4 linked regions of the Styela clava genome follow. The protein of the gene in region 3 interacts with the protein of the main gene of each other region in a pairwise test. Links are inferred from orthologs where the notes say so. Each region holds a gene or a part of one and is shown on either strand. Other genes may lie near its edges.

Region 1 (6,873 bases), on a different chromosome or scaffold from region 3:
TAAAAAACACATAAAAAAATAATATAATATTTATTGAAAATAAAAATTTTAACGTTTCGCTGATTAGTTTTTATTCATGTTCGTCAAACGCAAAATCATGAGCCCCTTCCACTACCCAAAAGTACAGGGAGTACTGATAGAAGAAATGCGAGCAATTTATTTCCTCATAATTAGTTATTAATTTGAAAAACATACTCACAGAATATCTACTAAGAAGACTATCAAAAATAATGACACAGTGAGAGATCTCCAAAGATTTTGAGTTTCATAAAAATCCACTGAACGATATGCAGCAGTTTCAGGTATAGGATTTCCAAGAAGTAAAGGATACTGGGCGACGCAAATAACAATCCAACAAAATATGAACAAGAAAATACTACTGACGGTGTTGTAACCATATAGAGTGGTGAACGTGGTATAAGGTAGCGAATACCACATACCCAAACCATTGACAAAAATTGATAATAAAGATGCGGTGACGATGGACGAATAAAACCTAAAAACAAAATAAAATAATATTAAATATGGTAGAAAAATCAATTAATCTGTTTCACTCAAATCAAGGTAAAGGATGGCTTATTACTTGAGTAAAAACATTTACACTCCAGTTAAATTTTGAGCATTATTACTATTCAGAATAATTTTGTATGAGAAACAATTTTCAGTAGGTTAAACTGATCAGAATTAACAGGTGTAATATGATTGCATTTGTACTGCTATTTAGTTCTTCATTACTTCCTGAATTAGAACGAAAATGGATTCCATAACACTAGAGTGGTGGATAATATGAATAACAAAATTTTTCAGGTCATTACAACAATAGTTTGCAACACGGAGAAGTTTCAGTTAGAAATTGGGCTTGTGCTAGTATTGTAGGAAATGTCTATGAGCTATTTTCAACTATTTGTTGATAAATAAGATACGAATATAATATATAAATTATTGCAATTCATATTTCACTGCTAAGTGCAATACGAGCTGCTTTTTCATAAGAAATTATTTGATTATGCTAAGAACAATAAGAAATATTTAAAAAAAAATAAAAGATATTAATAATAATAACCAAAAATTCAACATGAAATTTGAATAAATACCCTAAATAGTAAAAGAACAAAACAATATACCTACCTCTTTGGAGGAACCAAAAATAAGAAAGTATTTGATGACAAGCATGATTCGAATATAATTTCATCTTCTTCTGCAAGTAACCTTCTCAACTTCTTGGAGGATACTGTCAAAAAAGAAATAAGAGCCCATGTAAAATTCTCAAAATGAAAAACCATAAAATAGAATGACTATATTCTTAACAGAGATTTTTCTGATACTAAATAAACGTTGTGAAAAATCCTAATGCAGCATTAAAATTTTTCATAAACTATAAGAAAGAATAACTCACCACTAGCAGCTGAAGATAAACTAAATTTATCAGAATCTTCGATCTCACTACTCCCTCTCGAAATTACTTTACTTCCAACTTGTAGCAAAAGAGTGATAATCCCAACAACTAATCCATTTCCTATACAAGCATGAAAAGGAGCTAATCCACCGACTTCCACACCAAGTGTGAATGCTCCGCCAATAAAAAATGGCATCAACCAGAGTAGAATTTGACAAATATAAATATACCACGGTACTGCATACCCAAGTTTTAGATTCAGTCCACCGAAAAACGTCTGTGGGAGTCTTTTATATACAAACTCTTTTTTGTAATGATTCAACAGTGGAATATCTGATCCTGCCATTGTTGGATTATCCAATGGAAGATATCCCTTTATATCATATCGATCATAAAGATTTCATTGTCCGAAAAAAATGCATATTGGTAATGTGACGATGATAGATTATATTTATCCACATAAAAAACTTAATCATATCTGTACAAAAAAGATGTCAGGATAGAAAAAATTCGTATGATTATGTACACTAAATAAACAAGGCTATGCAACTTCTTACATTTGGAATGAAAAGACTTGTTAATTTAGTAATCGGGCAATTGTTGGGCGCTGGCGACACGTCGTGCAAATAATATTAGATATTTTTATTTACCCCAGTTTCATGTTTTGATTAGACCTAGCTTGCTCTTGATTTCATTGATTGCGAATTTGACGTAAAATACTCTTGCAGTCAGGCCATTACATTTCTGAAAGTTCAGTAATATTTATATTTACAGAATTATGACGAAGCTGCTTCTCAAAAAAGGCAGAAATTGCTATTGGGTTTTAGCATTATATCAGTAGGCTATATGGCAAAATACAGAAGTAAATTAGTCACCCATGCAATAAAACAGAACAATACATACTGACATAGGTATTAATTAATCCCTATGTCCAATCTGTCTGTCTCTGGTCCTTCAAAAAAGTTAACTTACAGACTTTTACAAGTTCTATTTCAAAAACAGTTCTTTTTTGAATCAAACTAACAACACTGCAACAGGCAGACAGGTCCCTCATTTCAGAAAATATAACTGTATTCAGCAGCACAAGTATTATGTCTGAATGTGGGCGGCATTACCATGACACTCTTCACATAAATTAAAGAAAAAACAAGAACGGGTTTGCCCAGTCGCTGAATACTGGAATATCACATTCCACTGGTCCAAGAACTGAAGAACGGGTTCTCCGTGAACTGGTCACTGTTTCTACGTTTTACCTGCCTCCTTAGACTTTTCAGTTACCATGTTTCACATGACCTATCCAAATACTGAAATAAGTTTGATATACCAATGTTAATTCTCATTCGCCTCGATTGTCATAATGATCGGACAGCCAAATTATGGTTGCTATGACCAATGAGAACATGAACCACAACAAACAGTAAATTTCCGAACATGAAATAGGCTACGCCTTCCATCAGACACTTTTCTGGTACTTTGAAGATTGTTTTATATTCACAAATAAAGACTTCCAGGTGGTTTGCCTGCGCGCTCAACACCGAAAGTTTGAATAATGTACGATCGACTTCGAAACACGCATTCCTTTGTCGTTTAAAATCCGGTGCCGATGCTGTGGGCAAGAGCAACGACTAACATACAAGAGTATTTCTTCAAAATGATTACGTTATCGCAAATTTATCTCCTCTGGCGTTTGATTCAAATGAATAGCACTAACTGTATCGATAAGGACCCAATAAATTTGAAAAATAATTGAAGTACGCTGATTATGAAAATTTGACAATGATGAATTCAGAATCGTTTCAAAAAAGTAAAAAATAACAAAATAAATAAATACGGCGAAATTTTGAAGGGAAAATCAGATTTCACAAAATTCACAGCTTTCATAAAAGTGGAGCGAGTCAGTCTGACGGGCAGGCAAGATGAGAAAAAGTAAAAAATAACAAAATAAAGAGAAAATCAGATTTCACACAAGATTCAGAAATAAAATAAATAAAAGTTAAACCTTTGACGCTACTACCCCTCCGAAAATTTTCCCGAGTTTCTCGTAGCAGGAATTTACAGAATTAAACCGGAACAAAAATAAATAATACAGCAAAATTTTGGAGGAAATATCACATTTCACACAAAATTTAGAAAAGTACTTTTAACCACTGAAAATATTAAAAATTGGTCCAGTATTCGAAAAGAAAAGCGGTTTTTTAATGGTAATGATTAATATTAAATCGATCGTTATGTCCACTAACTAACGTGTCCAATAAATCAATGACATTAAACAACATGATAGGCAACTCTGACGTCACTCCATAAGACTATACGCGAAAGATTGTATTTCATGATACGCTTCAATGCACATAGTTATCGTCGCCTTTCGAGACCGTTTCCCGTTCGCTTTTGCTTCTCGGCGCCTTCTTTACGTGTAGTATCTGCCTTTTTGCGCCTGTGACGAAAGGAAATAATCATTATATCTAAGAAGTTTTGCTCACTTGGAAAGCTGGAATGACAGACAAGCTAGCTGTAAAGAGTAATTCTGGACATCATAGACGTTTTTATTTTATCAGAGAAGATTACAAACGCGATAGGGCAAAGATTTGTGTGGAACATTTTGCAGATAATGACAATGTTCAAAGTTACTAATTTTAATGTTTGTACTTAAACATTGAAATTTTATTTAAAGTGGGTGTCTTACAAAACAACAAGACTGTTTATACTTCTCTTAACGGTGCTGTGATACAATTCCATAACACAAAGTTTGCACCCATCGAACTTGCTTTAGTAGGTGAATTTATTAGACATATTACATATTCAGTTTATCGTAGGTAACATTGATGGTACATAATGCTTCGTAGATATGTTTGTGTCTAAATTTAGAAATTTAGCTCATAGCCCACTAATTAGTATTATCGTCTATGCAGGAGGTTGCAGGGCTGATTTCAACTTGCAGCCTTACCGATCACCTGATGATGCTCATTTAGTTTGGCTCGAGCAAGTCTTCTTGAAAGACTTGTGTGAATGGAAACTACCTATATCTTTTGCCTTCCTCCGATTCTAGAAGACAAATTTAATCTGAGGAATTTTGCATATAGTTCTCATTGATTGTTGGCTGTTTATATTTCCTATTAATTGTGAATTCTGATTATAACAAAGAGTTAAAAAAATTTTTACGTAATTTACTAGCACCTTTTTCTTGTCAATACTCCAAGCTGAGGCAATAAACAAGACAATACATTTATGTCACCTGGAAGCAAAATATGCACACTAATTAAAAGTTTGACACATTGAGATAATACATCGCGACAGCAAATACAAGTTACAATACAAGTCATACAATATGCCGCATCGCATTTTGGAAATTGTAAAAAGGGCCGCAAACAGTTTTTGATAATGTATACTTAAAAGATAGTTTTAGTTTGTGACATATATTGTGATGCAATTAAACAGTTGGATTAAGTTCTATTATTTTCTCTAATTTCAAATGCAATTACATTTTAATATTTGCATTCCACTATTATTGCAAGTTACTGTATTTATCACAAAAAAATCATAAAATTCTATGTACAACCATCAAAATCATTTTTGAACAAGCTTTGGATAAGGAAAGAATAATACATACACTAAGAATGACTTAATCTAAATATATAGACCTAAAATTAACAAAAATACTATAGTATTAACTCAATGTTTACTCAATTACATTTGCCCTGACGTTTGGCATCTTTTTTGTGTCACCAGCATACTAAGGCCAGGCTGAAATGATTTTATAGTACCAACTCTTATAGTAACTAACGAGGTCACATGATCATGGGTTAATATGGATCTGTGAGAATGTTTAATTAATTCCAGTAATGCAAGAAAGCGTAAAGATCAGTAAACGAACAAATGACAGATTTTTTTGACAAGAAATTTTGCGCCACATTGCGTGGCATTGAGTTGCTTGAATTATTGTTGATATTGATTTTTAGTAAACTAAGTCGTTGTTATACAAACACATGGGAATTTTCGGTTCAAAGTTGGTCTTTGAATTTGTCATATTACTGCTGAGTTTATTGTGTTATTTCATTGTACTGATGGAAATATGACAAAACAAAAACAATGTGCTTCGGAATTTTGAGAAGTGCAGAAATATTGTAAATCCCATTTTTCTTCGAAAATGCCACCTTCTTCATGTACTTTGCGTTTAATTTACCCACTCAAATGTTTTATTCAAGTATTTTTTTGCTAGCTTGATGTGTAAATTCTTAATTGGGTCAAAATGTGAAAAAAATAATAATTTACCAAAACTACTTTCAGTAAATTGTTTTTTGCGCAAATAATCAATTTCACTTTAAAAAATTGGAAAAATCTTTTACATTTAGATAAAAAAAAACTTTCAAAAAACTATTACAATTATTGTTTAGCGTTCGAGGGCCGCACTGGAAGTTCTCTGGGGCCGTGAGTTTGACATCCCTGGTCTATATTTAAGTTGTCCAAAATATTGAACAGTACTTTATCATGAATCATGATTATACCCTTCCCTGAATTTCTTCTATAGTACTACCAAAATATGATGGAACTAATTCTAACACAGGTGTAGTGAGTGACCCATAATCTACATTTCCAAAGCTGTTTTAATTATGTCTGGCGTGTTTTGTGCCTTTTTACAAATAAGACCCATACACAACTCTACCGGGGGGGTCAAATGTCTTTGCATGCCTCCATAGGTTGTTCTTCTATTGCAAACATTTATGGAGTACTCTAATTGTATTTCTTGGAATCACATTGTCACTGATATTTTGCCAGACTTCTGATATCTCGCCGTCTGCTACAGTTGTCCTGTGAATAAATAATGGGAAATTGAGGTTAAACGAATAGTTGAAAGTTTTGCTTTATGTCGACTTAATTTCTTGACTGATATTCTTACTATTTTTGCTATTGCCTCTTGTGCTGCAGGAATCTCACAATGCTTATACAGGTTTGTCCACAACATTCACATCTGAAGAAAAAGAGGATATTTATTAATTTTTGTCAAGAATATTTAAAGAGGTCTATATGATTTAGAATGGAAAAGTTAATAAATCCAATATCTCATGTTAAATGTAAAAAATGTTTTACTGAATTTGGTATATAAACCAACTAATGAAGGGGTTTAGTCCAAAAATTACAGGCATTCGTGGCTTCATATACTTGAGAGATCATACTATACAATATAGACCTGGTATGGGTGAAATGTTAGGTGAACTTATTAACCCTTTGAATCAATACGCAAATAGAAGTGATTGAGCAATAGTATGTTACAGCAATCCGTATATATCCTCATTGGTTAGAAAAATCTAAATGGAGGTGCATGAACTATTTGGAATCATAAGGGGTAGATAAATATGCAATTTCGGCAAATGGGCAACTACGTACCGTACTGAATTAATAACTTTGTAGTATTTGAAAAAGCTGGCTTTCCCACATGCACTTAACAGTGCGATGCCCGGGTGTGATATACAACAATAGTA
Region 2 (7,631 bases), on a different chromosome or scaffold from region 3:
AAGGTAAATAATACTTCTAATGTATACCCAAATCATGTCCAGTATGGAGCATTATACAGAAAGTAGTCCATGAACCGAGTTATATTACAATATTATTCATATTGAGTAAGCATGTAAAAATGGAAAAAATGCATTATTGAAAACATGTGCAAAAAGTTTCATCTTGTCAACTTTTACTCCTATGTCAATATATTCAATTATTACTTTATTTATTCAATAATTACTGTAAAAAAATAGCAGAATAAACCAGCTTTTTAACTTGACAGATATAAAAATAATAAACCCTACAAAATTATTAAAAAATGTATTTTAAAATGAAACATAAAAAAATGAAACAATTTAATATAACCTTGTCTAGAAATTTTAAAGTTTTGAAATAAAAAGAACAACAATTTTTATATTACTAACATTAAAAATCAGTGTTTACGGAAATTAATAAAAAGCACTGAAAGAATCTGGCACCACTGCCGATTCGTAACATCGTGCCATGTTTGTTGCGATTATAATATAAATCAATTCGATTCAATTCTACAATTGAAAGTTCGTTTCCTGACTGCAGGACTGTTTTAGCTAGAAACTCTCGAATTCTAGAGTAAATTTATTTCGAATGATTTCACTATTTATTTAGCAATAACTTATCCATTCCGTACAGCAAAGTTCTATGATTTCAAGGATATCGCCTATATTGAAAGACATTGATTATAACAGTAGGAGCAAACCCCTCATTTACGAGACAGTCTGTAGAGACAGTCAATTAAATATTTACTGGGGCATTCCAAGCATGGCACGATCTGATGCATCTGCCTTCGTGTCGGGGCAGACACTCTTGTTTCAGAGACAAATGAAGTGTTTGTTTTCATTGCACACTTTCCAAATTCCAAGAATGTCCCGTCATTTGGTTCAATAAAACAAACACTCCATGTGTCTTACAAACGAGGGGTGTCTGGCACAACGGCAGATGCGTCATATGGTGCCATGCTTGCCTCGATTATAATCTAATATAATCGTGGCGGGCACACTGGCACATGACCAAAATTGCCATTTTTTGCTAAAAACTCTCAAATGCCACGGTCAGACGATAGAAATAATTCTCCTTCTGTAAATCGGACTATTTCTTCACCGAGGGAGTCAACTATGACGTTTTTAGATTGCGCTTCTTTGTAGTTTTTTTGCGCAATTCCATATATTCGTATATCAATGAATGCAACCTCCCCCCCCCTCCTTCCTTTAACAAGCCAGTCTGGGCCTTCAAGGGGACAAAATCTAAAAATTACTCAGAAAAAAATAATCTGATTTACCCAAAGAAAAATATTGGGTCTAGTATAGTTTAGTACAACAAGTACTTCCAGTAGGCGTAGCATAACGAATTTTGCATATGTTATTCCTAACCACCACCTGACTATGCCATCCAAAAATCACGTCACTACGACATCACCATTACGTCATAGGGCTTGCCAAATTATAATTACGATCGCCCGGAAATGGCATCTGCGTCGCGATAACGAACTCGGTAAAGCCGGCGATCTCTCTCCTATCGAGTCTGGATTTCATGGCCATTTTGAACGAGAAATCGGGCGTGCAATCAGAAATTCCCACGTGCAAATCAGAATTCCCGGCGTGCAATTATAGCTCACGACGTGCAAAGCAACTGCGCCCGCGTGCAACTGACTTTGACTTTAGATACTGTTCAATATATCCGCCTAAAATTACCGGTATTGTATTGTATTACTATTTATATACTTTGTCATTACTTACTCAAATGTCTAAAAAATGAACGTTTGACATTTGACCCACAAACATTATTTTTATTTTTTGACATCAATTTTGGGAGTGTTTTTGCGTAAAATCATTGGATAAAAAATAAGCCGAATCAGAGCCGTGACTGACCAGCGTCTGCGAGGAGTCTGGGGATCTATTCGCCCATAACTATTCTCACGAAGTCCCTATCAATCAACACGATGCGCCATACCGCCAAGCAATTATGAAAAACATGATCTTTTTTGCTTAGGCATTTTCTGACCAGGCCAAATCTTGCAAGCTAGTATGTCTGTATGCAGGTATGAAATCGACAATTGTGGAGCTACAATTTGTTGGCATCTTTATATTACTGGATTATTAATTTAAAAACCAATTAAACCAATTTTCATTGGTGAGCAATTGCAAATTCTCGGCGTGCAAAATTGAATTTGCTTGCATGAATTTATGCGGAGCGCTAGCAACCTCGGGCGTGCACCTGCCATGGAATTCAGTCTGGTCTCCTAGTCCTATCGCAGTATCGTGATCGTTGTGACAAGAAAACGAGAAAAATAGCTTGCTCGATTTCGGGTGATCGTCTGCGCGTTTTGGACGACCATTCGCATACTTTGGTGGGCCTTATTACGCCACTGTGATGTCGAGATGACCTAATTTTTCGGTGACGTAGTCAAGTGGGGGTTAGGATTGACATACGGTAGCCTATGCAAAGCCTATGCAAAAATTGTTGAGCCAGGCCAACTAGAAATGCATGTGGTACTAAACTATACCAGACCCAAAAAATTACCATAGCATTTGGGAGTTTCAAAGTTTATCATGAATGGCATTTTTGCAGAAAAAAAATTTTCAACATTAGTTTTAATTTAACAAAGAGAAACATTTTACAAAAATTAAATTTGTCACCAAAAACAATAATAGGCTATTCATTTCAGCATTTGGTAGCACAGTCAGACAGTAGCAATCACGGTACCGGTAGCAGGGTAGTGTATGCGTGTAAGTCGGTTCTGCAATCAGTCACTGGACCTCCATCTCTGAAACTCCTCAACGTCAAGAAGCTGAAAATTCATGCACCTATCACTGTGACGTATCTGTATCATCATGCAGTTTTGAAAATTTTGCGCTCGACGGTAAAAACTATTGTCCAAGCTAACTCCATTTCAAATTAGTGTCTTTCAAATGTCTGATTGTCTGCAAATAATAGGCAAAACAAAAACAAATCAGAAACGAAAGCGAAGGAAAAGCGACTGAACCCGAGTTGCCGCCATTTTACGTTTTGCGTCATAATATGACCCCTGACCCTCTTCACGCAACAATGGATTTGTTATTTCAAAATTTCACGTCGCTTTGGTTGTGGGGTTGTTGGTATGTATATAAATTTATAAATAGATGTGTAGACTAAAATAAATAGATGACTATCCTTTCAAAAATGTCTCTTTACATCTTTTATTCAAATGTTAATAATATTACTCTACTGTTATAATTGTAACATTTATGGATATATAACCAGTGGTGGGATTCAGCCGGTTTGCACCGATTCTACAGAACCGTCTCACGGAATTTTCTGAGATCAGCGAACCGGTTAGCATTACTGGTTACTGTCAATGGATTTTTGCATCTTACCTGAGACACCGATTTTTGAGAACCGGCTGGAAAATATGACTTTTGTGATGGAACCGTCTGACAAAACATTTGAATCCCACCGCTGTATATAACGCTTATTGTAATGATGGTAAAACGAGTTGTTAACAGTAAAATATTTCACTTATGTTATTAAAAAAAAATTTTGGTTACCGATGTTCTATTTCCGATATTAAACGACAGATGTCGTTTTTATCTCAAAAATTTAAACTAAAATTGGAGGTATTCGGGAGGTATGTACTTTGGGTGCGAGTAAAGTCGTAACCATTGAAGCGAACTGCTCCCGCAGTGGATGATTACCCCAATTAAATGTTTGTTATACTTCACCATATCAAAATTTTTGATGTGAAAATTTTAGCTTAGTTGGTCGCAGCTTTGGGGCTAATTTTTAATGCTGCAATCACACTAAAATGCTCGACAGTCGACAAAACCCGATATTCCACTCAGTGACCATTTCACGGTGACAAATACAGCTATGTCTACGCCCGTTTATACAAGAAAAAACGCTCAGCCTCAACAGTTGCTGCTACTTGCTAGTAGCGTCATAACGATCTGTATTGTTGTGTGCACGCTTGGATAATCTCGAGAGCTCAGACGAATCTCCTCCAAACATTCGTCATTTATGTCGGAGCTCAAAGAAGCTCACCACAGTCTCACTTCATTCTGGAGGTTATCCAGAAAATACAGACGCTCAATCTCATCCACCTGGACTGGTTTATTCGGGTGAAAAATTGATATCAAGGAAAAAGTGAAGGATTGTCAATGGAGCGTTCCCGAATAGAGCAGCTGAAGCCGTCGGCATATGGAAGGTATACGGAACGTTGGGAATACTGGGAGGCTGAATCAGCACAGACGTTGTCGCGTTGAACTTGTACTTCAACTACTCTGGGTATTGTAAAATCTTTCAAGTCAGCTATTTCACAAGTTTCTTTGTAAATATTCGATGCAATGTCCGATTCATTGCGTTCTTAAGTGAGAACGCTCTAAACGGAGGATGTGAGGCTCTTTACTGACGCACACTGACTCCGACCGCGTGGAGTATGCGCGCGAATGGTTCTATCAGAATGGTTCTATATGATAGAAAACAGTTCGCTACCTTTCACATATCTTAAAACAATGCTTAGTTGTTCTGTCCCTTACGGACACAAACGTTCTCCATAATTATATCTTGCATTATCATATTGCTTGCTACCCCGAGAATCTCCTTTTGTATCAAATCTCCACCCCCGGTGTCGATACGAAATTGAAGATGCTTTGCAAAATTTCCATTTCCCAAATGTCCACGCGAAGGTATGTTACTCGAAGCATAGAACATAACAGTCTTGACAATGAAAGCCATTATCATAGGCGTAGCCAGCAGGGGGCGAGAGGGGCCATGGCCCCTCCCAAATTTCCAAGATTACCAAGATCTGATAATGCCCAGAGTAGTCGAGATACAAGTTTATCACGACAACATCTGTGCTGATTCAGCGTCCCAGTCCCAACGTTCCGTATATCTTCCATACGTCGACGGCTTGAGCTGCTCTATCCGGGAACGCTTCATTGGCAACCCCTCGTTTTTTGCTTCACTATCAATTCTTCCTCCGAACGAACCAGTCCGGGTGGATGAGATTGAGCTTTTGTATTTGTTGGATAACCTCCTGAATGAAGTGAGACTATGGAGATCTTCTTTGAGCTCCGACGTCAACGACGAAGGAGCTTCTTCTGAGCAGTCGAGATTATTCAAACGTGCACACGGCAATATAGATCGGTATGACGCTACCAGCAACAACCGTTAATGCTGAGCGTTCTTTTTCCTGTAGGAAACGGGTCAAGACATGGCTGCGCCCATCAATGACGTCCAATCCCCTTTTCGATTTGTGTGTCCTTTATTGTCATCGTGAAAGGATCACTAAGGAGAAGATCAATCGGGTTGTGGCGAGCATAGTTGGCGGAAAGCGAAGGACGGGTTTTTACTGGTTCAGATTGCCTCATAAATATTTGTTGTATCAAAGAAAAAGTTGTTCGGGAAAAAATATTGTATTTACAAAAAGCCAGCTAAGTTGTTGAATGTTATTTTCCTTAACGATCGAATGTGGTCTTTTTCTGCTTAAAGAAGTGATGTCTCAGACCCAATATCATTGCTTGAAAATACAATATATATTTGGCCCCCACCAAAATTTTGGGCTGGCGTACTTTTGGCCATTATTATTCTGTTTTCTTTTGTTTGAGTAGCATATTGGGCCTTTAAATTCACACACATAATTTGACCAATTTTAATGCTTTTGACGATGTATGACTCAGGACTTACCCTGCGTTGCGCTGGAAACGAAACAACAACTATCGCCATGTAGTTCACATTTTTGTCACGCATTTTAGCCATTTTCCGAAAAGAATGATTTACTCGGCGGCAGTGTATGTATGTGGAAGGGTAATATATGAAACTGGCGGTGTCGAAAAATAAAGAATTTTTTTGGATTCATTTTTACGGAGTTATTCCATAACTACGTACTACTAAATAGCTTTATTGACAGTGACAATATACGCAGGTATATGCATTAGTTGATGACCATATATCCATAACAAATAAAGAAGGAACCTGGCGAACGTTGGAAGTTATTGAAAAAGCGGCGATGTAATGTTCTTATATGTTGCATAGTTAAGATACTATCAGTGTAAAGCGTTTCAGATATACACTGTAGATAAACAGCTCTTTACCTATATTTCGCTAAGCAACTATATGAAATAGGGTAAGTTTGAAACAGTATGTATCGCATAGATCAAAATAGTCGATTCCCCAATATAGAAAATCTAGTTAGCCATTTATCGCTGGAAATTTTGTTATCCATTCGGGATTTGAGAAGAATAACAGCTTATCGTAAGCTTGCTAATTGAACCCAGTTGCAGGCATGCAAATCAACATCCGTTGCACCAGTTTTATCACCATTTACTTTGACTCTCCCGCCGCGTTTGTTATTTGTGCGATGTCCTCATGCTCCGCATTTAGCAGCTCTGATAGTACTTGCAGCTTCCGCATTTCACAGGAACCGATTCCGATGGTTTAGCACCGATTGGTAAAATATAGTAACTAACTACAAACGAACATTTGCCACATTTGAGAGTGGAGTTGCTCAGAGGACGCTGTGTTAATATTCCAGTTATAGTTTTAGAATCGCTCAAACGTGGACTCATTTTTAAAATATCAGTTTTAATTGTAATGAGGCTATAGAGATCACTAAATTGTATTCTATGGAGTTTAAAGGACTGCTAGCTTGGACACTATAATGGATAACTTTTATGGATACAGCATAACGCAAAGCGAATGAACAAGAAGCTAGTCCAAAATCTCTGGTATAATGTTTCTATATTTTTTTGAGAGGACGACAAAATAATATCGAGGACAAAATTAGCAAAAATACTAAAGTTCAATTTGCTTGAAATGGTAATCTATTTGTTGAATAAGATTCATAAAATGATATTTGCCATTATGGTTAATTGTTTTCCAAAACTTTTCAGCTTCAATTCATTATTGCAAGGGTGCAGACTAGCCGAGATTGCTGCATTTTGTCAATCAATTATAACAATTCAACAATTGACTCCCTTCAAATACTTCTCATTGTATAGCGAAGATATAACAATGCTAAATTAATTAGTCGATTTTCAAAACTAGGAATTTTCTGCCCCCGCGTCTGTGACATACAGACGTTATTTTTCTCCGAGGTTCTTTTTTCGCTTCGCCGATGCGGGCCCGAAAGTAGAGAGAAGTCGTGCAGTCGACCGAGGTCTTTGCTCGAGGCGGGTCGTGTTTGCGATAAGCTGGTAAATTTCTTGCGTCGTTATAAATGCTGTTTGTTTCTATCCAAACTGTTTAGCAAAATGTGTGATCTTGTAATGGTTAGAGACAGAACATTTCATAAATATATTAAGGTATGCGAAAGAGACGGTAGTTTTGTTTCTATAAATTCGTAAACAAAATGCCGGTACTATATATCATTTGGATGGGAAACCAGGACCGTTCAGCGGCAACCAATGTTAACAATAAATTGAGTTTAGTTTCAGGGTTCAAAACTGTACGAGGCTTGTAATTTTCAGATACAGAATACTGCATTTTAAATTGACCCTGCAGGTTGTTTTGCTTTTGTAAACACTCAACGATGGAGGAAGTTAAATCATGTACGTCGCTAATGAAGTTTTGAACGGCTTATAATGTATTCCCTACTTATTTTGATATCTAAATTGCTTGTTGTGCTTACTTGACACAA
Region 3 (7,150 bases):
TATGGAAAATAAATAAACAAGTCCATGCTTGAAAGAGAAATGAAATTAAATTCATTAGATTCGCTTCGCACTTGAACTACGAATAATTATCTAGATAGCCAGCAACTGATAAGCAAGGATCCAATCATATTTGAAAGAAATGGAATTATTTTACTTTGGCATTGTCCCCATGGGTGTACAACAGGTGGCCCGGCCCGCGAGTCACAACCCGGCCCGTCAGGCCTTTTGTAAGGCCCTTATCAACACTAATATTCTTAAATCTTATGACGATTTGCCCGGTGCATTTATTACTGTAAGGCCAGGGAATAGCAGCATTCTCTTCTTTTGTCCCAGCTGAATGTTTGAAGTTGGTTATATGGCCCACCGACAAAAAATGTTGCACACCCCAAAATCTTCATGCGACCCCATGAGGGGGCGCCACCCCAGTTTGGGAACCACAGACCTATTCTATACATACCATCTTCAATAGTAGACTCTCCTGTTTCTCCAGTAGTGATTTCCAGCTTTGGCAAAGTAACTGCTGTAAAATCTGGAACTCCCGGTATCTTAGGTGGGGTAGTGCTGATTGGTGATGGTGGCAAATTAGACCAATGAGGTTTGAATCTAAAGTTTGAACAGGAAAAAAATAGGCAATTAGCTAAAAAACACGAGTCTAAAACAAAAGTTAAATGTCTAACTAATAGGGCAACCATTGTACCAAACGACATATGAAAGTTTACCCATGAACTAAAAAAAACAGTCAAATTTGGGACAAAAGGATAAAATCTGATATAAATGTAATAGTGAGTGAAAAAATTCACACAGTAATTCGATGGTCACTGGTTCGACCACTAGAAAAGAAGAAGTTCGTCTATATTCAAAATTTGTTCAAAGCAAGCCTCAATGCAATGTAACACTCACTAAATTAAACAATCAAACGAGACATATCTCTGAGCATAGTCACAGGTGAACACACTCACTCACACATTCATTACACCCACCTATCGCTTCCAGGAGTGTATCCATTGCCCGGCATCGAGTCCACACCATTCACCATCATGTTGTTGTCATTGCTATCTGAGAGAGTCCTGTGAAATTGTTTGTTCATTACAAGTAGGGGTGAAAAAAACAATAGAATATTCATAGTCACAATGGTATTGTGGGTAAAATGATAGACAAAGTTGCGTTGGCATCCAAAAATAGTGGTTTTCATATATCAATAAATACAGTTGCTGCTCATTTAAAAATTACCTGAGCACAAAGGCCTATCAATATAATTAATTAAATTTTTGACAAGGTCAAATTTTTATTTTCAAAATTGATTTTTATTTGAAAAAAGGTCTTACCTTGGTAGATTACTCCATGAGCTGACAACCATTAGATTTTTCTCAATTCCTCTCATAAATTTATCACATTTTGTGTAATTCTTCCTCGGTTCTGCAAGAAGTTCACAAAGTCTTTGGATTGTGAAAGGCGGACTGTAAAAGAAAGATTCAACTAATTTTTCCTATCATTTCTCACAGTATTATAAGTTAAATGGGAGCTGGGAAGAGCTGCGGAGTCTGAAAAAAATAATACCAAGCAATGCCATAGAGCCAACAGAAATTTGCTCAAAGTATTGTAACTGATTAAATTTATTTTCATCAGAATGCGACCACTATGGATGTTTCCCCAAGCATCAATCAGCATGCCTCACGAGAACATTTAGATGAGTTGCAATAATTAAAAATCGATACTGCAAATGCTGCGATAGACTATTATAAAATTAGCTATAAGTATCTGTAAGCGGCACGCAGTTTTGCGTTTTAATAAAAATGAGTTTTGAACATGTGAGCCAGTTTGTATGAGCTAATTCCCCAAAACACTCTCGAAATGAGCGTTTAAAATTTTGCAATGGTTAAGTATAGGGAGATTTTTTTGGGGGTCAAGGGTCGAGGAAACTTCCACTGGCCCAAACTATTGAATCAAGAAACATAGTAACACACCTGTCAAACTCTTCCGTCAACTGCAACAATCTTTTTTTCATTTCATCAAAATCATCGTTGGTCGCATTTGCGTTGATTTTCCCAACTTTATAAGGAGCCATATTGTAAAATTCATCTAACACTGACGTCAATTTCTTCATGAAAACTTTCTGTACTTTCTCCCATGGCCCCCTAGTGGAGAAGAATATATTAAACTTCAACAAGGAATACAAAATTTTGCTTATTTGCAAGACAAGAATAATAGCTTAAATAGCTAAGTAATTGTGAAAAATCAAGAACTCCATCAAATTGGTCAAAACTCAGGGATGACCAAAACCGGAAAATGTTCCACATGCATTCTCAATAGCTGGGAAGGATGATTTTTGTAATGTAGCTATTCTAGATATTTTTCACTGATCAAGAATTTAACACACCAAATATTCGATACAATTTGGACATCTTTGAGTATTTGGGTCTAGTATAGTTTAGTACCACAGGTACTTCCAGTGGGCGTAGCATAACGAATTTTGCACATGTTATTCCTAACCCCCACCTGACTATGCAATCCAAAAACTACGTCACTACGACGTCGCCATCACGTCATAGGTCTTGCCAAAGTATAATTACGATCGCCCAAAATGACATCTGCGCCGCCGATAACAAACCCGCTAAAGCCAGCGATCTCTCTCCTATCGTGATCGTTGTGACGAGAAAACAAGAGAGATAGCTTGCTCGATTTCGGGTGCTCGTCTGCGCGTTTTGGACGACCTTTCACGTACTTTGGTGGCCATTATTACGCCACTGTGACGTCGAAATGACGTAATTTTTGGGTGACGTAGTCAGGTAAGGGTTAGGATTGACATATGCAAAAATTGTTGAGCCAGGCCAACTAGAAGTGCATGTGGTACTAAACTATATCAGACCCGAGTATTTTTAGGGCTGTGTTTCTCAAAAAGTGTCAATACCACAAAACTTAACACAGAACCCAGCCAACAACCCAGAAACAAAACTTACAAGATATCTCCGGTCCTTGCAATGTAAGTTATAAACCGATCAAGTTCTTCTGACAGGGGATCTTGTTTTTCTTCATAGCCTAAAAAATAAAATAAAAATGTATGAGAGATAACAATGTCCAGACATCTCCCAAAGGAGGGGTGTCTGATCATATGGAAAATGGTTTCTCTGAAACGGGACAAAGTCACCCGATTTGTATAGTGTGCCGTACTGTAATATCAAGATTTAGAATTCACAGACTCCATCATTGTTTGCCCTACCAATTCTACAATCAGTTTTATTTCTTTTGTTTTTATCAATTATTTTATCGCCTATTATGCTGATTATTGAGTCGAAAAAAACTCATAACGTTACTCATACTTGATAAATGAAATATTGAAAAATACAATTTCAAACAAAAAACTCACCCTCGATGGCCTGAATAAAAATGTTTGTGTCTTCCATTGTTCAAATATTTCACAAAAATCCTATATTCTACAACTTTAATCCATCTTTCGCACTAAACATTCAACAATTACAAACTACTTATTTCAGTCTTTCAGAAAGGACGTCGAGCATTATTCAGATTTATCAATTCGACAAGATTTAGAATTGAGCTAAAATTCTTAATGCCATATTTTTTTTAAATATTTTTGTGTGAGCGAACACATACTTTTCCATCTAAATTCTGTACATTTCAAACCTTACTCGAGGTTTTGTTTGCTCTCCCGATTCTATAATCAGGTATTTTTTTGTCTTCATTTAATATTTTATCGTCTACTGCTGATTATGAATAATACCGGTAAACTTATACCGGTACTTAAATTAAGTAAATAATAAATTCCAATTTACCATTTAGTTTGAAATAATTAAAATTATACTGAACTAAATTTCAATAATTTTTATAATATTATATATTTAACAGAATAATAATTGGTTAACTTTCTAAATCTATTTTCTGAATAAGTATATAGAAACGAGTACGGTACATTTAGTTGGCAATTCGTACGACGACTAGACGTCAACATTATTCTGCTCTCGGTCGCCGAATGTGTTTTCTTTCGCTCAATTAGTTTGAGTTTTTTTATCTGATTGAATATACCATAAATAATCTTCAACCGCATTTTATTAATATAATTTTAATATTAATATTAATTCTTATATACTAATTACCTCATTACTTTTATAAGAATATATAATCCAGTATCAGCTGTTTACACGCTAGGATAATTTTTGTAATCACTGAGGCGCGACAACGAACACCAACAGAAAATTTTACAAAATCGTTGGCGGAAAAACGAAAACCAAGTGAGTTGTAGTAATTTTTTGGACGGGAGTAAATATGGGGGAAGGTATAAGGATTAATTGATGTTCAAAAAAGTTCAAACCAAATTAGAATTAATGTTGACTAATTATTGTTAGTGGTATGTGCTGTTGTATATTTTTATTATTGTTGCAATGCTCATTTCATTGTTTGTGGAAATAAATCTCTCTCTCTCTCTCTGCTCTGTTTTCAGGTTGGCGAAATCTCTCTCACTCTGTTAAATGTAAACCTGTAGTTGCTAATGGAAAACATTTACAAATACAGAAATATTCTTTTTTGCCTTTGTCAGTGTTGGTCTTTTAGTGAACAGCTAACACATGTATTCCACAAGTTTGCTGGATGTGATTAGTTTATTTTTTAAAGCTTTTCCGAATGCCCATATAAATTGTAACAAAAATTGTTGTGATTTATGGTAATGATTAAATAGGGCACAGTATTCTGATTTCAATATGTCCCGACATTTGGTTCAATAAAACAACATTATATTGTCTCTGAAACGAGGACGTCTGTTACGATGACATATTCTTTCTTTGCTAAAAACTCTGAATGCTACAACAGAAAATATTTTTTTAATCTTGTAAACTCGATTATCTTTTTCAAGGAATTCAATAGTAATGTTTTTGAATTGCACTTCCGTTTGGTTTATCTGCAGTGCCGGTTTGTGTTTTGAGGCGATATGGAGCCCCCAGACTTTTTGGGTCTCGTGTAGTTTCGTACCTAACGTACTTCTAGTGGGCGTAGCATAACAATTTTTTGATATGTCAATCCTAACCCCCATCTGACTACGCCATCCAAAAAAATTAAATCACTACGACATCACAATCACGGCATAGAGCTTGCCAAATATACGCACGATCGACCGAAACGGCATTGGCGCCGGCGATAAAAAACTGACTGACGTTATCGGTCTCTCTCCTATTGGAATCGTTGCGACGAGAGAACTGTTCGATTTCGGGTGCTCGTTTGCGCGTCTTGGATGGCAGTTCGTATAGTTTGAAGGGCTCTATTACGTCACTGTGACGTCGTAATGACGTAATTTTTGGATGGTGTAGTCAGGTGGGGGTTAGGATTGATACTTGAAAAAAATTTCATGCTACGCCCACTAGAAGTGTGTTAGGTAAGAAACTACATGAGACCTGACTTTTTCGTAAAGGGGGGCCTCGCACTCACTGTTATAATTAATGTCTTTTTTATGTGGGTTTTTTTTTTTAATAGGAGAATTGTGCTGTAGAGATCTAATTTACTGGAAGGAAAAAAATTTTGAAAGCATTTGAGAGTTTATAGCAAAAAAACAGAATTTTGGTCACGTGATGGCAGAGTGTTTTTTTTATGTGCCCAAATGTCGGGACATATGGGAGTCAGATAACTATAGCCTACTGTCTTCATGGTTTTTTGTTGCAATGATTCTGTTTCTATGTTTTTTTAAGACTGATTCATAAAATTATGTAGCCTATCCCAACATACTGACCTAATAATTTTCATCCAAATTAAAATGCACAAGTTTTTTTTAATTCAACAGGATTGCGTAAATTATTTTTCTATATTGTCCTTTACAGGATAACACATATTAGCAGCACATAATTATGGACACTACAATATGGGAAGGTATGCAGAAGCAACAATTAGATGGTGGATTACTACTGACATCATGTGGTGCTGAACTGCAAGAATTAATGCGGCAAATTGACATCATGGTCCGACATAAGAAAATGGAATGGGAAGGGGAACTAGCAGCTGTACAGGTAACTATTTCTGTATTCTTCGATAAGATAGTAATTTTTTTTTGCTTTCAGCTTCACTCATGCCTTTTGCTTCAAACAAGGCTAGACAAAAGCTGTTATTAAGCCATTTCTAACTAGATCCCAAATAAACACTCTACAAACTCACTTCGCTGTCGGGAGTTATCCAAGCTATAATAAAGGATTGTTGGTAGTAAGCCAAGAAACGTTGAGTTTCAGTGTATTGTTCAAGAATAGAGCAAAATGGTATTGAAAAGCCGCAAAATTGATGTCTGACTGCGATCCCTGGAAAGTGCATTACAAAAAAATATTGAATTTTTTTGGGGGAGGGGGGAGGCATGGCGTATGTTTTTTGAGTATTTATGAGAGTCAAGTGGGAGGCATGAGATTTATCTATACTAAGACTTTTAAACTCGGCCTATATGCAAGGATATAAGGCACTTCGTAAATAATCTCTTCTCACTATTGCAGGACAAACTCGAAGTTCGTGAACAAGAACTCGGTCACACTAAATCTATGTTAAATCAAAAACATCAGGAAGTAGGAATGTTGAAACACAAATTAGATGGGTTTGACGGTAGCCAACGAAACGTGGTAAAACAATACGAATCCCAGTTATCGTATCTTCGCAACGAATTACTACAATTGAAATCGACGTACTCAAAAATGCAGAAACATTATGCAAAACAAGGTGATTATTTAATCAAATAATTTAAAATACTATATAACATTTATTTTACAAAAAATTACTTCGAATTGAGACAGCCATGCTCATACAATTCCTAAGAACACTCCATTACCAGATATTAAGTAATCTATAAAATCAACTAGAAAATAATATCAATAACTTTCAAGTTTATTGATGAAATAACAGGCGACCCAAAAAGATTTTTCATGCAACGCAGTTTTGGGTCGCGACGCAAAGGTTGAGAAACACTGCACTAAGCCATCACACCTACTAATATAACGCAAACAATTTTGTTTTTACCAATTATTCATATCTTCCATTATTTTCCAAATAGAGTATCGACCCTGGCCTTGATCGTAGACTGAAAATATTTGAAATTTCAGATTCGATAGAAGTACTTTATTTTACCTACCCTAGCTGTTATCTTTCAACAGGAAAGATAAGTGAGCGAGAGCACACACTT
Region 4 (7,811 bases), on a different chromosome or scaffold from region 3:
AGTAATTCATCCCATAATTTATGAAGTTCTACAAGACGATCCTTTAGAAAAGTAGTGAAATTGATTTTGTTTGAAAATGGAGTACTTATAGGCAATATTCTAAAATTTTGATTTCATAGTACACAACTACACATTGGAAAATTATGATTCCTTGTTTTTGAAATTATCATTCAAGCAATAAATGATAATAATATTAAAACAAATAAAATATAACTCAAACTAATTTATTGTGATTGGTGTTTTTACTATGTTTTGTCGAATATAAACATACCCAAACTAAAGAAAATTGCTTTACTTCTCAGTTTTCTGCATTTTATAAAAAATTTTGGTAAAAGATATATTATGATTAAACTGATATTTGTATTATGTGTGGGAAAGTTACAACTTTACAGAAATCATACTTCACATATTTCTTAGTTTATGTTGCCACTCAATGTTCATGTTCTGAATATACCTTATTAATACAATACATCGAAGATTTAAAGCTCTGCATTTCTAGTATGCGCTAGAAATTTAAGTGCCTTCATCCATAATTTAAAACAAGATGAACTAAGAAAGCAATATGACCAACATCTATGTAGACTGATGGTACGAAAATCAATATTTTCTCTTGTGATATTGATCTTTTTGTACTATATGTACACGTATGTCAGGATTTTCCAAAGAAGGTTAAATAGGCCTATTCAGATTCGTTTACAGTCAATAAGTTGATATTTTAATTAGGGATCAAAAACTTGCTTTTTTACAGGTATTTTTTGAAATAGCCATTCATACAAATTATAACACCGAATTGAAATTCCAAATCCATCATAAAAATTATTCAGCGTTAGTCAGTTCTATCACAAAACTTCTCCGTTTTAATTGGTGTATGAATGTTTACCTTCACATCATCAAGAGCAAAATGATTTTCTTCAATCATGGTTTTTCCAGCATCATCCAGATTTTCCAAAGCACCAGCATTGGCATAAACCTCAGCTTCAAGAGCAGCATGTTTTTGTAATCGAGCCTAAAATGTATAGTAAAACTAAATGCATATTTAAATCCAGAGTTTTGAATTGTTTTTTATGAAACTCACATTTTTTAATTGAAATGCGGAGACGATGCGAAAATTTTATAAAGGTGTTTAATATTATTAATATACCTGTATACAATTAATAATGGTTTTTTCACAAGAAATATTTACATTCGTTAAATTCGGAAATCATATAAATATGGGTACATTTGACTGTCATGGACTCATGAAGTCAAGTGCAGTTTTAAGTATTCTGTGGTATCTGCAGCTGCCGCAAAACCATGGCAGTATTTCCATACCATGGCCGCTACGGCCAAACTCATGGCAACTGACTTTTTAGCTGCCACAAACCAATGTCGAGCTGCCGTTACAGCGGCAGCAAATTGAAAACCAATGGCAGGTACAATTTTGCTGCCGTAACCGCGGCAGGTGGGCCGTAAAGACAGGGCTGTCTATTATGGTGACAAATATTGGGTAAGTTGGAACGTTTTTCTTATGGATACAGTTTTGATTGATTTGGGGTTAGGGTTAGGGTTTAAGTAGATATAATTCCACATGATCAATTAAAATCTGGTACATTAATTTGTGAATATACCGTTAATACTGATTACTGAATACTGAATAGCGCTATAAAACCATGGCAAGAGCTGCCGCGGTTCGTTCGTGGCAGGAGCTGCCATGAAGTGGTAAGAACTGCCCCTCCATGAAGTAGGATATCATAATTAGGGTCTAGCTAAGTAACTCCCTAAAATAACGCCAAACAAAAATGTGAAGGGAAATTACCCCCGAAACTGTTCGCAATATGCCACACAGAAATGTGATGTGAAATTTTAATGTTTTTTCAAAAAAGTCTGTCTGGGGCGGAATGAAATACTTGACAGATGCGTTTAGTTAAAATAAAATTCACTCAATTTTCAACTAACAGACGGAGCAGGTACATCCCATGCCAAACAGGATATAGCGTTCTATGCGAGACAGAAAAATAATAAAAACATGGGCTGTATTTTAACATAACAGTTTTGTTTGGGGTGATTTAAGCAGTTGATGCGTGTACTTCGTTAGACCTCATGATTGATAATATCTAACAATTTATTGTTTTGAAAATATACTCAAACCAGGGCAGTAATATCTCAGGTAGAGCATGCTTGAAAAGCATCAAATTCCACGTCTTCTCAAACCCGCTATCTCTTTCTATGCTAACGCAACTGCTTATAATTTGAAAAATTGCAAGTGTAACACACCTCAAGGTTTGTCAAATCTTTCCAATTGTCTTCTGTTGCAATTACCATTTTTTCCGCAATCCATTTTTCCAGTTCATTCGCATTTCTTTGAAAATTTTGAAACTGCAGTACAGCATGCAACTGTTGTCTTCTAATGACCAATGCATCTTTGAATGCCTGTAAATACACAAACATTTAAAATTTATATCACCTATCATATTACTGTATTATCTGCAATTATAATTTTTTATAAATAGCATGCTTTTTTATAAATAGCAGTTTTTTCTCTCGTTTTCTCGTCGCAATGATTCCAATACAGCAATAGGAAAGAGATCGATAACGCCAGTCAGTTCTTTATCGTCGGCGCCAATGCCATTTCGGGCGATTGTACGTATATTTGGCAAGCTCTATGACGTAATTGTGATGTCGTAGTGACGTAATTTTTGGATGACGTAGTCAGATGGGGGTTAGGATTGACATATCAAAAAATTGTTATGCTAAGCCCGCTAGAGGTAAGTTAGGTACGAAACTACACGAGACCCGGAAAAACTAAATAAATTTGCATATTACAGTATTATCAGTCTTCCGGACAAAAGATAATTTTCTGTAATTGCACTTAAAAAAATTTAAGACCTTACCTTGTACTGGGACAATACATCTTCTCTTCTTGCTGCAATATCACCTGCCGTCTCCAATGGCACAAAATTTGAGCTTGTCGATGTACTCATGTTTTAAAAGTACTGTTGCGCTTAGATTAAATAAATTCTCTAACCCTGTATTTGGTGATACAAATTCAGAATTACTTATTCAGCATTCCATAGCTTGGGCTGTTGGGAGCCCAATCAAAAGTTGGGATGTCTAGGGTGCACACAATTTCATTGTGAGAATTGTTGACATGTTGAAATAATCTTCTGACTGTCTGATGTTATACTTCTTCATTCTGGCATTAGTATCGACAGGCGATTGTATCTACTTACTGACTTAAGTTATTGGTATCAGAATATACAGATATAAAATAGCCCAAATATTTTCATTGTTGTCTTTTTTGTACTATTGTTGTTATAGCTTATTAGGCAGGCCTATCTTAAAGAATTCTCGTTTTTTTTATTTCTTTGGTTTGTATGTGCAGATGTGTGTGTACAGGTGTACGAGTTGAGTATTTTTAAAATATTTTCAGATGATCTATTGACCTAAGAAGCAAGTTCTAAGTTTTGAATCCAGGATCATAATATAATCAGTTTTTTTGTTATCTATCACCAGCGCTTTATGGACTGTCTGACTGTTAAGCTGATTATAGATTCCAGATATATTTAATTATATAAATCAATTGCCATTATTTCATCTGGGTACCGGTACCTAATTGTAACTGCAAGTGGACTAGTGACACATGCAGACATGCACAGAAAAACTCAGGTTTTTTCCGGGCCCATGCTTCTGAAATAGTGGTTATCAGGTTATGGACTGGTAACAGGACAAAATAGAATTGTGTTGTGGAGCGCCATATGAATAAGCCGTCTTTCGGATTTTTCCCCCATACGAAATCCCTATCCTCCCTAATACCTGAGTATAACTTAGCACCGCTCCGCCTCGACCTCTCCGAAGATAGTCCCATATTGTATTGATTATTGCGTAAATCCACAAGGATCGCCGGCAAGATGCGCGCGATGGGCGTGGCTGCTGTGCGGCCTCTCGTTTCAGGTACGGGTAACGGTAACATAAGGTGGCGTAGTGCAGGGGTGCACAACCTCACGTCTTATATTCTGTACGTTTTAAAACATTGTACAAGGTTTTGTCAGCTCTCCTCTCATTTTTGAGAAAGCAAAGCTTCTTTCTATAAGGTACACCGCGTGACCCATCACTAATTAATTAATTACTCGCTAATTATACGACATAATTCATCCAAAATCAATAGGCTTCTGGTCCGAGATATGATGAATGTACATGCAAAATTTAGAACAGATTCAACCTCGCTTTCGTGAGATATCGCGTGCAACTAACAGACAGACAAACAGACAAATACCTATCAATATACTTACCGATCAAGATCGACAAGTAATAAGTTCAGAACATGTGGCGTTTTTTAAATATGTAGAAAAGGACGACGTTGGTCCGATAAGTCAGTAGTATTGTTGCTAAGTGGTGAGAATATTTTGTATAGTTCATGTTGCTTACTCCAGGATTTTAAAATTATAAAGTGCTATTGAATTTGTCTTTCTTTACTTTTTAGCGCTATGAACTATGCAAAAAATAAACTGTAAAACAGCATGGAGACATATTCACTGAATGCAATACTGGTTATAAAAGTTGGCCCGATTCAAACAAATATGTCATATTTATGACCACGTGTGTCATATTTATGACCACGGAAAATATGATTAAAGACGGTACCATAAAAAACCTCATTCTCATATTTTGACAATAATTTTATTGTTAACTTAGTTTTAAAGCCCTGGTCAGTCATGCTTTTTAAATATATTGGCATTCCACATTTTGAGTTTTGATGTATAACAAAGAAAGAGTATGTGGAGGCTGATAATACGTTGTAGAGTGGATGCTATCTCAGTGGTTCTCAACCTTTTTCAGTTCGCGGACCGGTAAAATTTCAAAACAAATTTTATGCCCGGGACCTTCAAAATTAACCGAAAATGTCATGAACACAAAACATAATCAAAAGAATGCAATTACGACAAAAGTACAAGGAAATGCGCAAGAGGCTTTGCAATGAGGTTGCTATGCTGCGAGTGAAAATGTCGCGTTAGCTTTGCGAGTTTCATTGCGTCTTTTGAAAGAATTTTTGCTTGTTTCTGCGTGATCCCGGGGCATGTTGTAAAGTTGAAGTTGCAGTCTCTGTCCTGTTAACACCACTAACTTGGTTTTTACCATTGGGTTTCGTTTGAAAGAACTAGATAATACTTTGCTGTTTGTTTGCCCTCATTTCGCTAAATTATAGGCCTACTGTCGATTTACGGAACGTACGTACTCAATTCAATTTCTCAATTAAGTACCGAACCATGTGCTATCAAACTCCTCCGTTATGACGTTAACCGCCGTTATGAGGTCATAGACCTAACGAACATCCAGCCGTTACGTGAAATGGGCAGAGGACCTCTCACCAAGTTTGGTAGTTAGACGAATACCGGTAATACGTATCAATATTAGATGAAAAAAACACAAAATTAATGGACATTCCGTCAATACTTTGTATTTTGAAATTTGCTTATAATATATTATTATTGGAATATATTTGGCGGACCGACAGCAAGGTTGCCGCGGACCGGCAGTGGAGAACCACTGTGCTATCTAGGCTGGAGAAATAGTCATCAAATGCAACGGTAATACAACGATTGTAATATTTGTAAATGAGCTTACATATTCATATTTTTTAATTATCTTCAGATTCAGATATTCAAAAAAAATATTTATACATTTCCACAAGCTTCAGAATAGTGGTTCTGTGAAGTGAAATTAACCACAATGATGTGAAACATATGATCTATTTTTCGAATTCCAAAAAAAAATGAGCTACAGAACTTCCGTCGGCATAGTTAGGGCATGAAAGCATTTGGGCTAAATTCCAGACATGTCGTGGTGATCCGTAATAATAAAAAATGGTGGTTTTGACTTTTTTTATATATTAACTCGAGGTTCAAACGACAGAAAGACCATCAAAGGATTTTAACGATCTTATTCGGTAGCACTTTAATTCTGCTACAATTTGATATAGGATTCGAATGATAAAAAAGACAGCATTTTAAGGGTAGCAGTGTAGCGGCCATTCAAAACAGTGACCGCTCTTATTGTAACTAAACTGGCAACCGTAACTTAGGGCATTGAACCCTGACCTTTTTGGTGTTGGCGGGTTCTCCTTCTGCGTGAGCCGCTTGGAGGTAAGACTCCTGTGTAATAGCACTGTACAGTATATTACTATTACGGCTCAGCACCATACGATGGCGATGTGCTCGTTAGGGTGATTGAAATAAATAGATCGTACAGGCACTTTGTTTTTGATGACGCGGTTCTGTCTGATTGTCCAAAGATGTTTATTGTTGAGTCAAAAGTTGGTGAAATAGTAGTCAAATACTAATGGTGAAATAGTTGTCAAACAGAAATCCGGTAAAATACAGTGCTATACACAGGAGGGACCAATAATAACTATACGAAACAAAAAAATAGAATTACTTGATGTAAATTTAAACTACGCCTAATAAATAATACCAAAAGGATTCTTGTGTATTCCGATCTAACAATCACAGTAGCAAAACCAAAACTGCGACAGAGGAGCAGATTTAATTTTTCACCATTGATGCTGAGGACCAGTGTTGTTGGCTCATAATTCAGTAATTGATCAATAGGTTAGAGCAGGGGTTCCCAGCCTTTTTTATATATCGACAAATTATTGAGCATTTTAAATATTCGCGGCACACCTATCAGTCTAGGGTTGCCAACTGTCCTTTATTTCAAAGGACAATCCTTTGATTAAGCTTTTCGGTCCTTGTCCTTTTTAGCATTTAGAAAAGATGCTAATTGTCCTTTATTCTTTCCAACGTCGTTTTGTCCGATAGTTATAGTACTGTGTTTGATATTGTTCCGTTCTTAAGAAATCTCCTCCGTTTATGTATTTGTAAACTTTTAATTATTCTTTTTAATTTCGCTTTGGTCCAGCTCAAATAGCCAAAGAAATAACAGTTTTATTAACATTGTTTGGGTCAATGTTAAATAAACATTACATGAAAAACACATGAAGATTGTTTTAATATATCCTTTTAGCTTGTACATGATGTTTATTTCATTGTTTTATATTGTTCTTTCGTCTATGTCCTTCATTCAAACTTTTCATAGTTGGCAACCCGTCCCTACTTATCACAAAACATGGCATTTTCCGTCATGAAGTCATTTTGCTATGAAATAATAATGATCAAATAAGATCAGATAGGGAGAATTTCATTCATGTTAATACAACATACTCTGTATTTAGCAACAGGTGTAAAATAAGAATGGTGATATCAGTAGGACTGTTATGCCTGGTGTTTTTTCCCCACTGCTGCAATTTGTGGACGAATGTGAATACCAATAAATTCGTCTATATTCAAACACATGTTGTTTCTGTTTTCTCACAACAATGTACACGAGAGCGCCTTCGTAGCACCTAACGACGGCTAACGTTATTGTAAAAGATGCGCGGCCGCACGGGTAATGCGTGGTTTTCAAACGTAATGGCGATCACGCGTTTCGGTTTTGTTCGCTCTTCCCCGTTCCATGTTACGCCTTTACTATTATCACGTATTTTCCCTTTTGCACAATATGATTCTTTTTGTTATACAATTTATTATGTTTCTCCCATTGCCAAAATCATTCAATAGCGTTATTGTCGGCAATTGCGGGGGAAATAAAAGACTTTTCACGTTGTGAATTTCGTGCATGGCCTGAGCATAATTTGATGGACAGCATCCCTTTTGCACAACATGATTCTTTTTTTACAATTTATTATAACATTATTACAATTTATTTATGTTTCTCCCATTGCCAAAATCATTGAATAGCGTTATTGTCGGCAATTGAGGGAGTAATAAAAGACTTTC

What was found.
Region 1: the proteins of centrosomal protein of 63 kDa-like (region 3) and pecanex-like protein 4 interact in a two-hybrid assay, tested with the Homo sapiens proteins (2 studies listed by BioGRID and IntAct). The link is inferred for Styela clava from reciprocal best matches to the Homo sapiens genes CEP63 and PCNX4.
Region 2: the proteins of centrosomal protein of 63 kDa-like (region 3) and structural maintenance of chromosomes protein 3-like interact in a two-hybrid assay, tested with the Homo sapiens proteins (2 studies listed by BioGRID and IntAct). The link is inferred for Styela clava from reciprocal best matches to the Homo sapiens genes CEP63 and SMC3.
Region 4: the proteins of centrosomal protein of 63 kDa-like (region 3) and spectrin alpha chain, non-erythrocytic 1-like interact in a two-hybrid assay, tested with the Homo sapiens proteins (2 studies listed by BioGRID and IntAct). The link is inferred for Styela clava from reciprocal best matches to the Homo sapiens genes CEP63 and SPTAN1.

Annotation. Positions count from the first base shown.
Region 1 is NC_135253.1:17,646,797-17,653,669, forward strand, and holds the start of pecanex-like protein 4, read right to left. Parts: upstream 3,007-6,873; 5' UTR 1,743-3,006; coding exon 1,397-1,742; intron 1,232-1,396; coding exon 1,129-1,231; intron 497-1,128; coding exon 200-496; intron 1-199.
Region 2 is NC_135259.1:4,477,026-4,484,656, forward strand, and holds the start of structural maintenance of chromosomes protein 3-like, read right to left. Parts: upstream 3,013-7,631; 5' UTR 1-3,012. UniProt on the Homo sapiens protein: Central component of cohesin, a complex required for chromosome cohesion during the cell cycle. The cohesin complex may form a large proteinaceous ring within which sister chromatids can be trapped.
Region 3 is NC_135258.1:3,856,151-3,863,300, forward strand, and holds the start of centrosomal protein of 63 kDa-like, read left to right. Parts: upstream 1-4,124; 5' UTR 4,125-4,244; intron 4,245-5,816; 5' UTR 5,817-5,843; coding exon 5,844-6,002; intron 6,003-6,470; coding exon 6,471-6,690; intron 6,691-7,121; coding exon 7,122-7,150. Other genes in the region: uncharacterized protein LOC120339798, read right to left, coding at 458-603, 981-1,067, 1,326-1,457, 1,965-2,135, 2,958-3,036, 3,365-3,401. UniProt on the Homo sapiens protein: Required for normal spindle assembly.
Region 4 is NC_135253.1:9,914,286-9,922,096, forward strand, and holds the start of spectrin alpha chain, non-erythrocytic 1-like, read right to left. Parts: upstream 3,027-7,811; 5' UTR 2,961-3,026; coding exon 2,871-2,960; intron 2,410-2,870; coding exon 2,254-2,409; intron 1,007-2,253; coding exon 881-1,006; intron 42-880; coding exon 1-41. UniProt on the Homo sapiens protein: Fodrin, which seems to be involved in secretion, interacts with calmodulin in a calcium-dependent manner and is thus candidate for the calcium-dependent movement of the cytoskeleton at the membrane.